Linked DNA regions of Cricetulus griseus. The protein of the gene in region 1 purifies or fractionates together with the protein of each later gene. This does not show direct contact. Links are inferred from orthologs where the notes say so. Each region holds a gene or a part of one and is shown in the gene's direction. Other genes may lie near its edges.

Region 1 (6,492 bases):
CATCTTAAGATAATATTGCTTAATATTTTAGCCATGCCTGACTTCGAAGTACTTTATTATAGGCTGTTGACTTTTGCTTCTGACCTCCATGAGACTGGGTTTTGACTTTGATGCATATGGTTCCATATACCATGAATTACAGTGGAGGCAATCCTTTACCTAGACTGGAGCAGAGCTGTGCTTCCACCACCTACCTTCAGAATTGTCAGCTGTGGTTCCTGGTCTCCTGTCTCCAGGACTCAGGTCCACAGTCCCTCAACCACAACTCAGACTGAGAGATCCTTGGAGCTCTGGAATCCAAACTTCTTCCTTGCTTATTTGGCATGAGGAAGGGCTGAGAGGGCCAGGGCCTTCTGGGTGGCATCCTTCTGCACGACTCCATTTATGCCTTAGTCATCTTTTATATGTGCCATGGTATTAATTTTTTTTGACATTGTGCTATGAGGCATAGTAAATAAAGTAACACAAATACTGAATGTCCTATTGTGAACCCATCACACGAGGATTCACCCATACACATATTCCTACATGATTTCTTTGCCTATCCAAATGCAACTTCTACCAATGTCCTGTAATTTATTTACTTATTTATTTATTTGCTTCATATTGGCTCTTGGATCCAATCCTCTTCTCTCCTTTCCTCTCCCCTCCTGTCCCTCCTCTCCTCCCCTCTTCCTCCCCTCCCTTCCCCTACCCCTCCTTCCTTTTCCCTTCCTCTTTCCCTCCCTTCTCCCTCCCTGTCTCCGTCCCTCTGCTCTCTCTCTCCCTCTCCTCTCTCTCTCCCTTCCTTCCTCCCTCCCTCCTTCTTTCCCTCCCTCCCTTCCATCCTCCTTCCCCACTTTGGTATCCCAGACTGACCAGGAACTGGCTATGTGAAGCTGATAAACTATGCAAACTACCCTTTGTGTGGGTGTGGTCTAAGGCCTCCACCATGACAGAATCTCCAGGGAGCTCTTATTTCTGGACACAGCTGTTCTTAGTACTTCCTGGAGTGGGTGTTGTTGATTTGCACATGATCTTTGTAATGTATATTTTAAAGATTTGGAAAACTGTGGCATGAGAGCTCAGGGCCTTCCTCGGAGCCATGCAGCGTATTAGAGCTAGGGCTGTTGGGAAAGACAGATTTGCCTCAAAGAACAGAAAACTTTCCATTAGAGGTATGTGGCACCCCCAGGGGGCAGGGGCACAATACATGGACACCAGTTATACAAATTAACTGAACATGCCCAAAACTGTGGGGGAAGAAGTTATGAATAATCTACTTGTCCATGTCCTTTTGAGTCACCAGCAGCCTTAATGGGAAGGCCAGGGCTGACTGTTTCATCTTTGACAACTGTCTAATGTCACCTCTTCTCTGAATCCCTCTTATCATTTGTTGTCTGTACCACCCACTTGGCACTTGTGTATCTATCTGTTCTTTTGTTTGTTATTTTGAGACAGTGTCTCACGATGTTGCCCTGGCTAGCTATGGCACCTAGCCTTGGACATGGCTAGCCTCAGACATGGAGCTTGGCCTGCCTCTGCCTCCAGAATGCTGAGATTAGAGGTGTGTATTTTTAGTTGTTTTCCTTCATTCTTGGTATCTTCTCAGCTGGTTCAGGGTGTGGCAAAGCTCATCCAGTGCTGCATCCTTGGGACTCATGCTTCACTTTTTTGCTTAGCCAAACAGATTGTCACATTCATGCAGAAGGTGAGGAGCAGTTGTTAAGTCAGTCAGTCTTTATCTAGCACACTCTAAATGCTCAGTCCACCCTCCACCCTAGCCTTCCCGATTCTGTCTACCACATACACCAGTTTCACTCACAGGGGACTTCTCTCATCTTTTCTGGGGTCTGTAAACACCTTACACCTGGAAAATACCCTCTCTCTAGTGGTTTTTCTTTTCCTGGCCTCTTTTCTGCATCCCATATTTACTTATCTTTGCCCCCCTGCCTGGAACATCTTCGCTTCCATGACACCACCCAGTTTCTAGAAACTACTTAGGAAACCACACATGTCCCTTTCTCTGAGCTCTATCCCATTGCTCCTGTCTGTAATACTAGTTGATGTTCCTCTTTTCATCTGTTTGCCATTATTTTGTTTTGTTGTTCATCACCAATACTCCATCTTCCTCATTTCTGTATCCCTGCTGCCAGGCTCAGCCTCTAATACACAGTTAATGGATCAAATGACTATTGAATCTATATAGGAGCTAACACATAAACATAAGATTTCTCCCTTCCAAGTAAAAGCAAATAGTGCTGTGAAAAGGTGTTGAGGGAGCTGGGGAGCAAGTACAGCACTTGCATGAGGATGTGAGTTCAATCCCAGGACACTACATAGATGTACAAGCATGATGGTGCATGCTTGTAGTCCCTGTGCTGGGGAGGCAGGGACAGGGATGTCTCCAGAGCCTGCTGCTATCCAGCCAGCCTAGTCTACCGGTCAAGCTTCTGACCAGTGAGAGAGACTGTCTCAAATAAAACAAGACATAACAGAAAAAGCAAAACAAAAAAGTAGATGGCACTCAAATAACATTACCTGGATTTGACTTCTAGCTCTATACAACCCCCTCCCAAGTATGAACACATACCAGCAAGCAACATTTTTCAGATACTTTTGTACAAGATTTATATTGTCTAAAGGAAAAAGAGATACTTGTGCTATCTTCCACTAGATGGTGATTTCTCTCAGCATGTAACATATTTAATATGACATTTCATTCATAATAGATACAAAGCATTTTTGACCAATAGGGGAAAAATGGCATTCTGTACCAAAGTGAGTTTCCTGAAGAAGACCGTTGCAGTTTAATCCCAGAGTATTTTTTTTTATGTTAGTTAATCTTTTTGAGGAGCATAGCCAGAGTCAGATGGAAATCATGAGTCTGAGCCAATGACTGAAGAAAGAGAGACATGACTGAGGTTTCCATTCACATTGAATTAAGTAGTCTTTGTTTGAAAATCTCAGTTCCTTTTGTTAACACATGACAACATTTAATAAGCTCAAAATATGAAAAATAGAAACACAAGTAGACTAGGGTTTTGTATGGCAGTGTGCATTGTTGGACTCACTAAGTCTTATGTTTTAAATATACACCTATGTTTGATTTGTGTCTGTGTGTGTGTGTGTGTGTGTGTGTGTGTGTGTGTGTGTGTGTGTGTGTTGCATTACTGCGCAAATTCACATAACCCTTTTGGTGCTAACTGAATAAGTTACCCTCAAATAGCCAGTGATTATGCTACATTTTTAAAGAATTAGGCCAGTCTATGTAGTGTATCCCAGTGTATAAATGGAGAGATGGTGAATAGCACTTTGGCTGTCCATTTCCTGTGAACATATCCAGCTCCACAAAAGATGGAATAGCTTGATGTTCAGTTGTGTTTGGGGTGATTTCTCTAAGAAGTGAAAACGGAAGACATTTTTGTTTGAAAGTATTCCGGGATCTTTACAAGAGAAATAGGTAAGGTTTGGAGAAAATGTAGCCACCTCCTGTGAGCCATGGTTTATGCAATTGATGTTTGCCAAGAAAGGTTTAATTTGCATCCATATCCCAGATGCAACTAAATAACATGGCTACATTATTTAGAATTAACAAAGTGTCAACTAGAATTTTTAAGATACAATTTAGACTACTTTCCATTTTAAAAATAAACTCTGTGAGGTTTAGAAACCCTGTAGTATTTCTAGAGCAGCTGCTCCTTATTTCTGAGCTTCTGCATAAGTGGTTTGTATTTATGTGAAATTGGTCCGAGTGGATTCTCACTAACCTCTGTGACAAACGAAAAGGGGATTAAAGCTCTTTTAAGGGGCTTGCAAGAACTGCAAAAGCTTAGTTATACCTTTTACTCACAGTTTCCCTCTGTCCCCTGCAGCCGCGCCTGTGTGTCTAGGAATAGAAGTGAGTTATGCGCAAGAAGGAAAAGGGCCAGCCGCTGAGTTAGTCACTGACCGCATTGTTGATGAAGAAAACCAAGTAGTAATTTCCCTGGTTCTTGAATGTAAGAGGGCGGTCACTTTGATAATTCCATATGGTGAAATTTTAAATTGATTTGTGGAATTCATCTTCTTTGTTAAAAGATAGGTACTGATAATGACTGCAGGAATCACCAAACAGACACTTAAGCTTAGTAGTTTGAGGACATGCCTGTGTGCAGAGTGAGTGATGGGGAAATGAGGACCTCACATCATATTATTTGCATGCCCCTCATGGCATTATTTGAAAGCGATGACTTTTTGGACAAAATAACTTCCTAGCAAAAAAAGTGGTTTGGATGATGGTCTTGATTTGTTTTTTGCCTTCTTGATGCTGGCAGATACTTTTTAAAAAGTTTTTTTTTTTTAACTGTAACTTTATGTGCATGAGTATTTTGCCCATGTGTGCCTGTGCAACATGTGGAGTGTGTGTGTGTGTGTGTGTGTGTGTGTGTGTGTGTGTGTGTGTGTGGTGTGTGTGTGTGTGATGCCCATGGAGGTCAGAAGAGGGTGTGGGATCCCCAGGAACCGAAATTACAGACAGCTGTGAGCTCTATGTTAGTACTTGTGATTTCATGAGAGGATTTTCTGTCTTCGTCTCATACTTCCGATTTCCTGCAGGGTATATATTTATTGCCTTGCTCTCAACTTATTTTTGGGCCTGTCTGTGGCTTCCAAAGCTGCCTTGACATAGGAAAAAGATGAATGGTACTTTATCCTGTCCCATTGTAACTCCTGACAATGATACACAGCAGTGAAACCCTGGGGAGGGGATTGTAAACTCTCCTGCTAACCCACATAATTCTCATCTTGGTCTACACAGGTATAGTGGAAGATTACAAGCCACCATTCTATGATGTTGTTCCCAATGATCCAAGTTTTGAAGATATGAGGAAAGTTGTCTGTGTGGATCAACAGAGGCCAAACATACCCAACAGATGGTTCTCAGACCCGGTAAGCACACTGTTATTAGTTCATCCCTGCAATTATTAGCTTCCTGGAGCTTACATGGTGTGCACTATGCAGCTACCCTTCTACATGTCTTTATGTAGGTTCCTAGAGCCTAGTTGCATGGGTTTGGAAAGTGGTATAGTTCTTGAAGAAGCCCAATCGGTTGCTAATGAGTGACAGTAGTCACATGAGTGTCCATGTGTGACCAGTGTTGAGAACGAGATCACTCACTGCCATTGCCTAAAGTTGCAGCTGTATGTGTAAACCAAGAGACTGCGTGATGGTAATTAACTCTTGACCATCTCTGCTTACCTGAGATTCTAAAAGCAGGCTGCTTGATGCTGAGGAGCCTGAATTGGTGCTCATAGTAGTAGCATATCCAAGACCACTTCTACAATTTCACTCTTATCTCTGAGTTAGTGGTGTTACTTTTAGCAGCCATAAAATCCAAGGGCTGTGAGTTGGCCCATGGCATTTATCTGATAAAGTAAGTTCCAAAAGAAGTTCAGAGAACACTGCATGGCTTCTCCATTGGTGCTAAGGCCTTGAGTACTTGCTTAAAGAAGACGGCTATATTGTGGCCAGCTTCTCAAGACCTTCAGGGTTCTTTAAAACAATTGACACAACATCTGCCCGGTCTCCAGCACCACTAAAAAGCCAGTGTGTGTGATGTTTCTTTTGTCTCCCCAGACATTAACTTCCCTGGCGAAGCTTATGAAAGAATGCTGGTATCAGAACCCATCTGCAAGACTCACAGCTCTGCGTATCAAAAAGACTTTGACCAAAATTGATAATTCCCTAGACAAATTAAAAACTGACTGTTGACATTTTCACGGTGTCAAGAAGGAAGAGTCAACACTGTCGTTGTCCAGCTGGGACCTAATGCTGGCCTGACCAGTAGTCAGAACAGAACTGTGGTCGCCCTCTCGACAGCCGTCTCTCCCAGCCATGTTCTGTTCCAGGGAGACACCGAAATCACCCTAACCTCGCTCAAAAACTGTGACCTGGGCACTTGGTGAAATGTTCCCACCACAGAGACTAATGGTGGGCAGATACGGTTGCAAAGGGAGGGGACTGGAGGAACACAGAGAGATCCTGCAAGAGATCTGGGCATTAAGACAGTGGCTTTGCATATCTTTCACGGGTCTCCTAGACACTCCCCACGGGAAACTCAAGGAGGTGGTGAATTCTTAATCAGCAATATTGGCTGCACTACTCTTCTTTGTTGCACTAGGAATTCTGTGCATTCCTTACTTGCACTGTTACCCTTAATTTTAAAGACCCAACTTGCCAAAACATCGGCTGCGTACTCCACTGGTCTATCTTTGGATAATAGGAATTCAATTTGGCAAAACAAAAAATGTAATGTTAGACTCTGCTGCATTTTACACACGTGCTGATGTTTACAACGATGCGAACATTAGGAATTGTTTATACACAACTTTGCAAATTATTTATTACTTGTGCACTTAGCAGTTTTTACAAAACTGCTTCATGCATATGTTAAAGCTTATTTTTATGTGGTCTTATGATTTTATTACCGAAATGTTTTTAACACTAGACTCTGAAATGGACATTTTCTTTTAT
Region 2 (7,622 bases), on another chromosome or scaffold:
AGCTTTAGGTGGAAGGGGAAAAAAGCTACACTCATTCTCCCCATTTACTTTGTACCATTTTGAATCCCTTCCTTTGTGCAAGAGCAAATGCCATAGTGTGCTGCTGCTGAGATCCTGCAGATGCCTCTCTAGAAATACAAACTGCCTAGTCTGAAGCATGCTCCCTAGTCTGCAGCATGCTCCTGGTGTTCTGAAAACACTCTATAGTTCCCTCTTCACTTGCTGGGAAACAGAAGTCTGCATTTTGTTTTCTGGGATGGGAGCAGGTTGTTCCCTGCTCCCAGGAAAGACCTGCACAGCCTGGTCTTTCAAGAAGTAGACCCCAACTGGGCCACATCAGGAAGAGCACCGTCCTCTTCTGTTTCTGTCTCTTACTTAGAGGCCCTGGACATGGAGGTGTGAAGTGGCCTGACCATGACCTGCCTCATCTTGGAGTCTGAAACAATATAGTAGTGAAAAAGCAACTGTTGGCTCTTGGCTGTAGAGCCATGGTTCTCAACCTTCCTAATGTTGAGACCCTTCAATACTGTTCTTCATGTTGTGGTGACTCTAACCCTAAAATTCATGGCTGTAATTTTGCTGTTGTTATGAATAATAATGTAAATATCTTATATGTGACCCCAAAGGGGTCACAGCTCACAGGTTGAGAACCACTGCTCTAAAGACAGGCAGCATGCTCAGGAGAGAAGGACACAGACCTTAATGGGGCCCCACAGGTCACTCTCACAAAGTCAGCAAGCATAACATTTCCTTGGCCCCCCTTGGAGACACAAGATCAGACAAGTTCAAGGCAGGGCAGGGCAGACTCTCCTGCTATGCATTCTACTTCCTGAGCCAGGTCAGAGCCCTTATGCCTTCTATATTGAAACATTTTTAAATTACATTTATTTGTGTGTATTTGTGCACATACATGTACATATATGTACCACTTTGTATGTATGATTGACAGAGGACAGCTGAGGTCTTCATCTTCCTCCAAGCATTTCCCTTGAATATTTGACTGGAGTCAAATTTTACTCCAGTCAAATATTCAAGCTTGGTAGCAAGTAACTTTACCTGCTGAGCCAGCTCATGGGCCCCTCCTTGTATATTTTTTCTTCCATTCTTCCTTTACCCCTACACATGCCTACAGAACACACCAGCACATGTTCTTGTGGTGTGGATACAGTGTCATTGAAAGGGTTAAGTTCTATCCACTCACTGGGCAATCATAACCAAATGCACAGATTCTGTGTGCCACATCGTGGCCCACCACTTGACCTTTGTCATTTCTTGAAGAGCAAGGTTCACAAATGGGGTTAACAGACCTTTAATCCCAACACTCAGGAGGCAGAGGCATGTGTATTTCTGTGAGTTCAAGGCCAGTCTGGTTTACAGAGTGAGTTCCTGGACAGCCAGAGCTACATAGAGAAAGCCTTGAAAAAACCAACCAACCACTACCACCACCAACAACAAAACCCTAAAAACAAGACGGAAAACAAAAGGAAAAAAACAAACAAATAGCAGAGCTTTTCAAGGTCATGTAGACAGGCAAAGCTGAGACACAAATCCATACCTGGAGCTGGGTCGTGTTTCTCGTGTTTGGGGTTCAGATGTTATGTGGTATGTGTGCATGTAAACCTGTGGGCATGCAATAATACTTGCACATGTAAGTGTACGGTGAACCCAACAAGGAGTAATGGTCTTCTTAGTATTTTCTCAGAAGGCAGGATCGGTCTAGAGTGCTCCTCATTGCTGACACGGGAAGGCAGCCTGGAAGCTGTTCAGGGATGACAGGCTCAGATGGTGGACTAGCCAAGCACAGGAAATAATCCCCTAGCCAGACAATGCATTCAGAGAACCAAGAGTACACTGCATTTTCATTCTTTTTGGATTTTTTCTCTCTTAAACTTTGCAAGGGACAGTCTCTATTTAGGATAAGCTTAATAACACAAGTGTTTGCTGCATGGCTGTCAAAGCCTATTTATTACCAGTGACTGCTCCATTCGTCAGTTGCCAACCATTCTACGAGAAATCCCAGCAGTGAGTGGGGATTGTTTCAAAATGCTGGCCTTGTTCCTGTCTGCATTGTGTCCTTTGTTTGGTCTTTCTCAGGACTTCTTGCTAGACTGTTTTCTTCCATATTTTTGAGATGAGTGTGGCGTATGAGAAGCTGCACCTGCTTAATCCATCAGCATATTCTGCATGAAGTTAGCCAAACCATAAATGTTAAGTTACTAAAGGAAAGATGGAGAAAACTGAATTGCTGCTCTTTCTGCAGATCGGAGTTCAAGTTTTCACCAAGAGACCCCTGGATGAGCAGCAACAGACTAGTTTTAATCCAGATGACATTATTCGTTGCCTTAAGAAATATCCTAAAGCCCTGGTTAAATATCTGGAGCATCTTGTTATCGACAGGAGACTACAGGTGAGCACTCAGAGGCTGGACCAAGGTCCCTGGCAGGCTACAAAGTCATTCACAACTTAGGATAAGGAATCTGACTGTCGCTTTTGGGGCTGATGGTGTCCCTCGGTCACTCCATCTGTTCTTGTTGATTATTTGAGGGAGTATGAGCCTTAGTGGAAACAACCGGGAGGGACTAGGTAGATGTTTGTATCTCCAGTCTCATAACCACTCCACTTCTCTTTGTTACCATCCTCAAAGAAAATGGGAGAAGCTACATCACTTGTAGAATACCAGAATGATAATAACCCCTTCATGTGTCCCCCCCCCCCACCTGTGTTAGTCTTCTTTCCATCATATGACAAAATACCCCAGGCAATTAACTTAAGGAGGGAAGGGGTTTGTTTGGCCCCACAACCCTGGAGCTTTTGATCTGTGGCAGGTTGTCCCATTCTTTTTGATGAAGCATCTTGGCAGAAGAGGGCAGTGCCATGACCAGAAAGTCAGGAGGGCAGAGCAGAGCATTTGTTGAGGTTCCATTGTCCCTGCTGTGGTCCCACTCCTTCCCATTGGCTCCATTCCTTCCAGGTTCCATCCCCACTGCCCCCAGTAGCTTCCCATGGACTTTGGGGGCACATTCAGCATCCACGCTATAGCAAGTAATCCCTTCTTCTGTGTTGGGGTTGCTGGGGGTTTTCCAGTGCCCTGATGGTGTCCTGCCCACCATGTTTAAGAATCCAGCACAGCCTCCCTCATGTAAACACTGTGTCTGGCGCATCCCTGATTTCTACAGAAAGAAGAGTACCACACCCACCTGGCCACCCTCTACCTGGAAGAAGTGCTGAGGCAGAGGGTAGCCACTGGCAGCAAGGACATGGAAGCCACTGAGACTCAGGTCAAACTCCGGAGGCTGCTCCAGAAGTCTGACTCATACCACGTCCACTTGTTGAAAGGTGAGGATAAGCTTTGCATCCCAGTGAGAGACTTCTTTGGGGCTGGGGCTGGGAGCCATTGTCCCAGAGTACATTTGGGTCCCATAGGGTGCTTCCTTGAGCCTTGAGCCCCTTTTCTTTCCTCAGAGCTGTCCTGATGAGTTTTGGACTGAGCTTTAAAACACCCACGATTCAGGTCTTTCTAATGATTTCAGTACCTTCATCACTCAGTATCCTTGGAGGTGTCACGTGGGCCCCCAGGACTCCCCAGATCTGCGATGCTCATGCCCTTGAACGTCATAGTCTGAGCATAGAACCTGTGTAGCTCCCATCTGCTAACCTTTGTACCTCTGTCTGTGCCTTAAATATGGCAGCCTCCTAGTAATTGTTTCCTGACATTCCACTGTGGGCAGAATGGCAATGCATGTGTGCTGTGGTGTCTGGCTGCTGCTCTACTTGACACAGGCTATACAGCCAGCCCGTTACCTCCAGGCTGGTAATATCTGCCTCGGGAATTAGGCCTGAGGAGCAGCCCATAGTGGCCAAACTACAGATACCAGTGCCTATCATTTAGTATTAAACTTGGCCCTCAACAGAGAGTTGGCCTGAGATTATCCTATTGCAGCAGGGAAAGATCTTGTGTTGTTCCCTATTTCATAGCCCACAGAGGAGCAAAGTGACCTTGGGTAGTGAGACTCAGCCCATCAGCCCACTAATGGGGAGCCTTGATGAGGACTGACATGCCTCTGGGCTGTGTCATTTCTAGAAGCTTAACTGCAGGGGGAATAGAGGAAAAGTTTTTAGATCTGCAGACACTCATTGGATAATACAGATAGGATTTTTTAAAATACCTTGAACCCATGTTCCTTTCAGTGAAGCGTATTTTAAATTGGAACAAAGGGCATTGAACATGGCTTTGTGAGTTAAGTGGATATTTGGACTTTATCCATGGGTTCTGCATCTGTAGATTCCACCAACTGTGATTTGAAAATATGTCCCCCTAAATATCATAGCCTTACGGTCAGCCATGTTTACACTGTATCCTAAGTCCTCCAGAGGTGATCTTAAGTATAAAGTGTTAGTTACTGGAAAACACTACAGGGAATTTGGGGCTCTTTCTGAGAGAGTCTTGACTCTAGTTCCCCTGAAGACACAGAGGGAGGGACAGTTGTTCCCCCGTGTGTTAGTCATAAGATTTCATACCGGAAGATAGAGTGATGCTATGGTAACTGCAGACCAGAAGATAGGGTTCTAGCAATGCTTAGGGACCTTTTGAGACCAGACTCACCCATTGGTTCATAGCAGTGGAGTCTGTCCAGTTTTTCTATGACTCAGAGTCACCAGGGGAAAAATCCAAGGAGCCACCTCCCTCAACCATCTAGGTGGCAGTATTTAGCAATGTCTAGAGTAGCTGCATAGCCTGCGCTTTCTGAGGCTGTAGGAACAAGCAGGTGGCCTCAGCCAGCCAGCCCAGTGTGTTACTGAGTGCCAATTTTGTCTGACAGAGAAGATCCAGGGTGCTGGCCTGCCCATGGAAAGTGCCATCCTCCACGGGAAGCTGGGCGAGCACGAGAAGGCCCTGCATATTCTGGTGCATGAGATGGGGGACTTCTCTGCAGCTGAGGACTACTGCCTATGGGGCTCTGAGGGTCAGGACGCAGCCTGCCGTCAGCGCCTTTTCCACACACTGCTCGCCATGTACCTCCGTGCAGGCCCCTCTGCCCATGAGCTGACTGTGGCTGCTGTGGACTTGCTGAACCATCACTCCAGGGAGTTTGATGCCACCCAGGTCCTACAGCTACTGCCTGATACCTGGTCAGTGCAGCTTCTCTGCCCGTTCCTCACAGGGGCTATGAGGGACAGCATCCATGCCAGGAGGACCACACAGGTGGCTCTTGGCCTGGCCAAGTCAGAAAACCTGATTTACACATATGATAAGGTGAGTGCCTGGCCTTTGTGCTAACTTGCTTCTCTGCAAGCCCATTTTGCACGAGAAGTGAGTTTTTAGCCTATGAAAAAATGGTCTTGGTTAGTTCTTATTTCTATTCTACACGTATTGAGTGTTTCCACCAAGATACAGGGATCTATGTGAGCAGACGCAGAGGCTGCACTGGCAATATCAGTGAGGCCTTTCCCATTGGGACACAGGTAATCATGCAGCTATAGAGCTGGATGGGGTCACTCACTGTCGTCCCAGAACTTGGGGGGCTAGGCAGGAAAATGGTCAGGACCTCAAGGTCAGCCTGGGGTTCATAGTAAGTTCCAGACCAGTGTGGGCTTCAGTGCAAGACCCTGTCTCAAACAAACCAGGAAAACTGTGTAGGGAGGGCGAGTGCTATAAGAATAGTGACGCGGCTCCCCAGATACATTCTTTATGCCTTTTGGAGCACTTTATAGCATCATGGTGGTGTCTCTTGGTGTCCTCTCTCGTGCACAGAGGACAAAACTGAGCCTGTGACAGTCACATGGAAGAGCCCAGAAGGAAGTACCTTCTAGGCCAGTTCGGAAACCCACATGGCTGGCTGAAACAGCAGGAATCATTTATTGTCCCACACATAAGCCTTCCTTAAGACCCTGTGGCCTGGGAGATTCAGTATCACCTCTTTCTAATTCCTTCTTGCTTCCCAGTGCATGCCCTGGCTTAGCTGTCTGGCCATGTGGTCTGCTGCCTTACCTCCTATCCTTGGCAATGCTGACTCCACCACCTGCAGTAGTTTTCCTTTTTCTTCGTGAACACCCAGTCAGCATTTGGCCTGACTCTTTTTCTCCACCTTAAAGCCTTAAGCTTTAAGTCTTTTGCCTACCCACACCCCTTATGTGTGCATTGACAACTTCCTCTCTTACTTTTAGATATTGAGGACAGGAACCTTTATTTATGCTTCCCTAGTGCCAATCCCAGCATGCTGCTGGGCTGCATGTTGAGAGTACTAGTTCATGCAGGAGAATTCCCTGAGTTGCTGCTTGCCCCTGTCAGTGGACTGACTTGCCCAGACTGATGGAGAGATTGTATAGAGAAACTTCAAGTTATGCAACTCAAGTCCTAATTATCAGACTAGGACCAATAGTGACAGGTACTGTTTCTTACTAACTTTCAAAAAATGAAATTGTGATGTGGGAATGTGCCACTAATTAACTGAGTGACTGTGGCCAAATCCCTGATTTGGGTCCTTCTTTTTATATGCAAATGAGGGTCTTACTTGGTCCCTGATACTCAGCTCTGATAGCCATGCTCTTGTGTCAGTCTGGGGTTAAGACAGCCAGCGCTTTGAGAATGCTGAAGGGAAGAGTTTGTGTAGGAATTTCCAGGCACAGTGGTTACTTTAAGAAAACTAACTCCTGGGGCTGGAGAGATAGATGGCTCAGAGTTGAAGAGCGCTTACTGCTCTTGCAGAGGACCTGGGTTCAGTCCCCAGCACCTACACAGTGGCTCACTTCAGTTCCAGGGGTCTGATGACCTTTTCTGGCTTCTGCAGCCACATAAACTCATACAGGCACACAGAGATACATATAAAAATGACTAAATCAATATTTAAAAATAAAAGGAAAGCAACTCTGCTGCTTCCTCTGTCTGCTCACTAAGAATGGTTCTGTTTATTTCCATTTCTTGTGTCCTGTGTCAAGAAGTTGATGGGGTGCAGTCCTGGCAGCGATCATCGTCCATGACAGAATGTGCATCCACCCTGACTCAGCCTCCTCACTATTTATTGCTTTCTGTTTGCAGATGAAGCTGAAGGGAAGTGCAGTCCAGCTCTCTGAAAAAAAGCTTTGCCAGCTCTGCCAGAACCCTTTCAGTGAGCCTGTGTTTGTCAGATACCCAAACGGAGGGCTTGTGCACACCCACTGTGCTGCCAGCAGACACACGACCCCCAGCTCACCCAGCCCTGGTACTCGGACTTGAAAGAGCTGGTTCCAGGCTGCAACGGGGATTCTGAGTTCTTTTCCAAACCTGCTTTGTGCCAGCCAGCTAGAACAAAGGGAAGGCATCTGGGTGCCAGGGAAATGCTGTCCCTGGGAAATGATGGCACATCACCACTGATTGTTCTTTGTGTGGAATGTAAACGGAAAAGGCCTGAAACCCTGAGAATAGTGACAGGCCAGAGACTACCCGTCCAGGAGGGTTACCGTCATCCAAAGCACAAGCCAACTTTGAAAAGCAGGCAGTGTAGCCTGAGTGATCCAGACACAGGTGGGGCCCAGAAATGAGGCTCACCTGGCTCAGGCAAGTGTCCAGGGTGCAGAGTCCTGAGGTGGGCACCTTGCCTTCTGAGGCGGTATGCTCTTCACAGAGGCTCCGCATCTGCCACTAA

Evidence for each region. Proteins that work in one complex are often made in the same cells at the same time.
Region 2: the proteins of Acvr1 (region 1) and Tgfbrap1 purify together in Homo sapiens (co-immunoprecipitation; 3 studies listed by BioGRID and IntAct, counting the BioPlex papers as one, with this or other methods). This does not show direct contact. The link is inferred for Cricetulus griseus from reciprocal best matches to the Homo sapiens genes ACVR1 and TGFBRAP1.

The regions. Positions count from the first base shown.
Region 1 is NC_048599.1:116,424,239-116,430,730, forward strand, and holds part of Acvr1 (activin receptor type-1), read left to right. Parts: intron 1-4,777; coding exon 4,778-4,908; intron 4,909-5,595; coding exon 5,596-5,730; 3' UTR 5,731-6,492. UniProt on the Homo sapiens protein: Bone morphogenetic protein (BMP) type I receptor that is involved in a wide variety of biological processes, including bone, heart, cartilage, nervous, and reproductive system development and regulation.
Region 2 is NW_023276807.1:5,439,069-5,446,690, forward strand, and holds part of Tgfbrap1 (transforming growth factor-beta receptor-associated protein 1), read left to right. Parts: intron 1-2,260; coding exon 2,261-2,407; intron 2,408-3,176; coding exon 3,177-3,336; intron 3,337-4,820; coding exon 4,821-5,254; intron 5,255-7,036; coding exon 7,037-7,213; 3' UTR 7,214-7,622. UniProt on the Homo sapiens protein: Plays a role in the TGF-beta/activin signaling pathway. It associates with inactive heteromeric TGF-beta and activin receptor complexes, mainly through the type II receptor, and is released upon activation of signaling.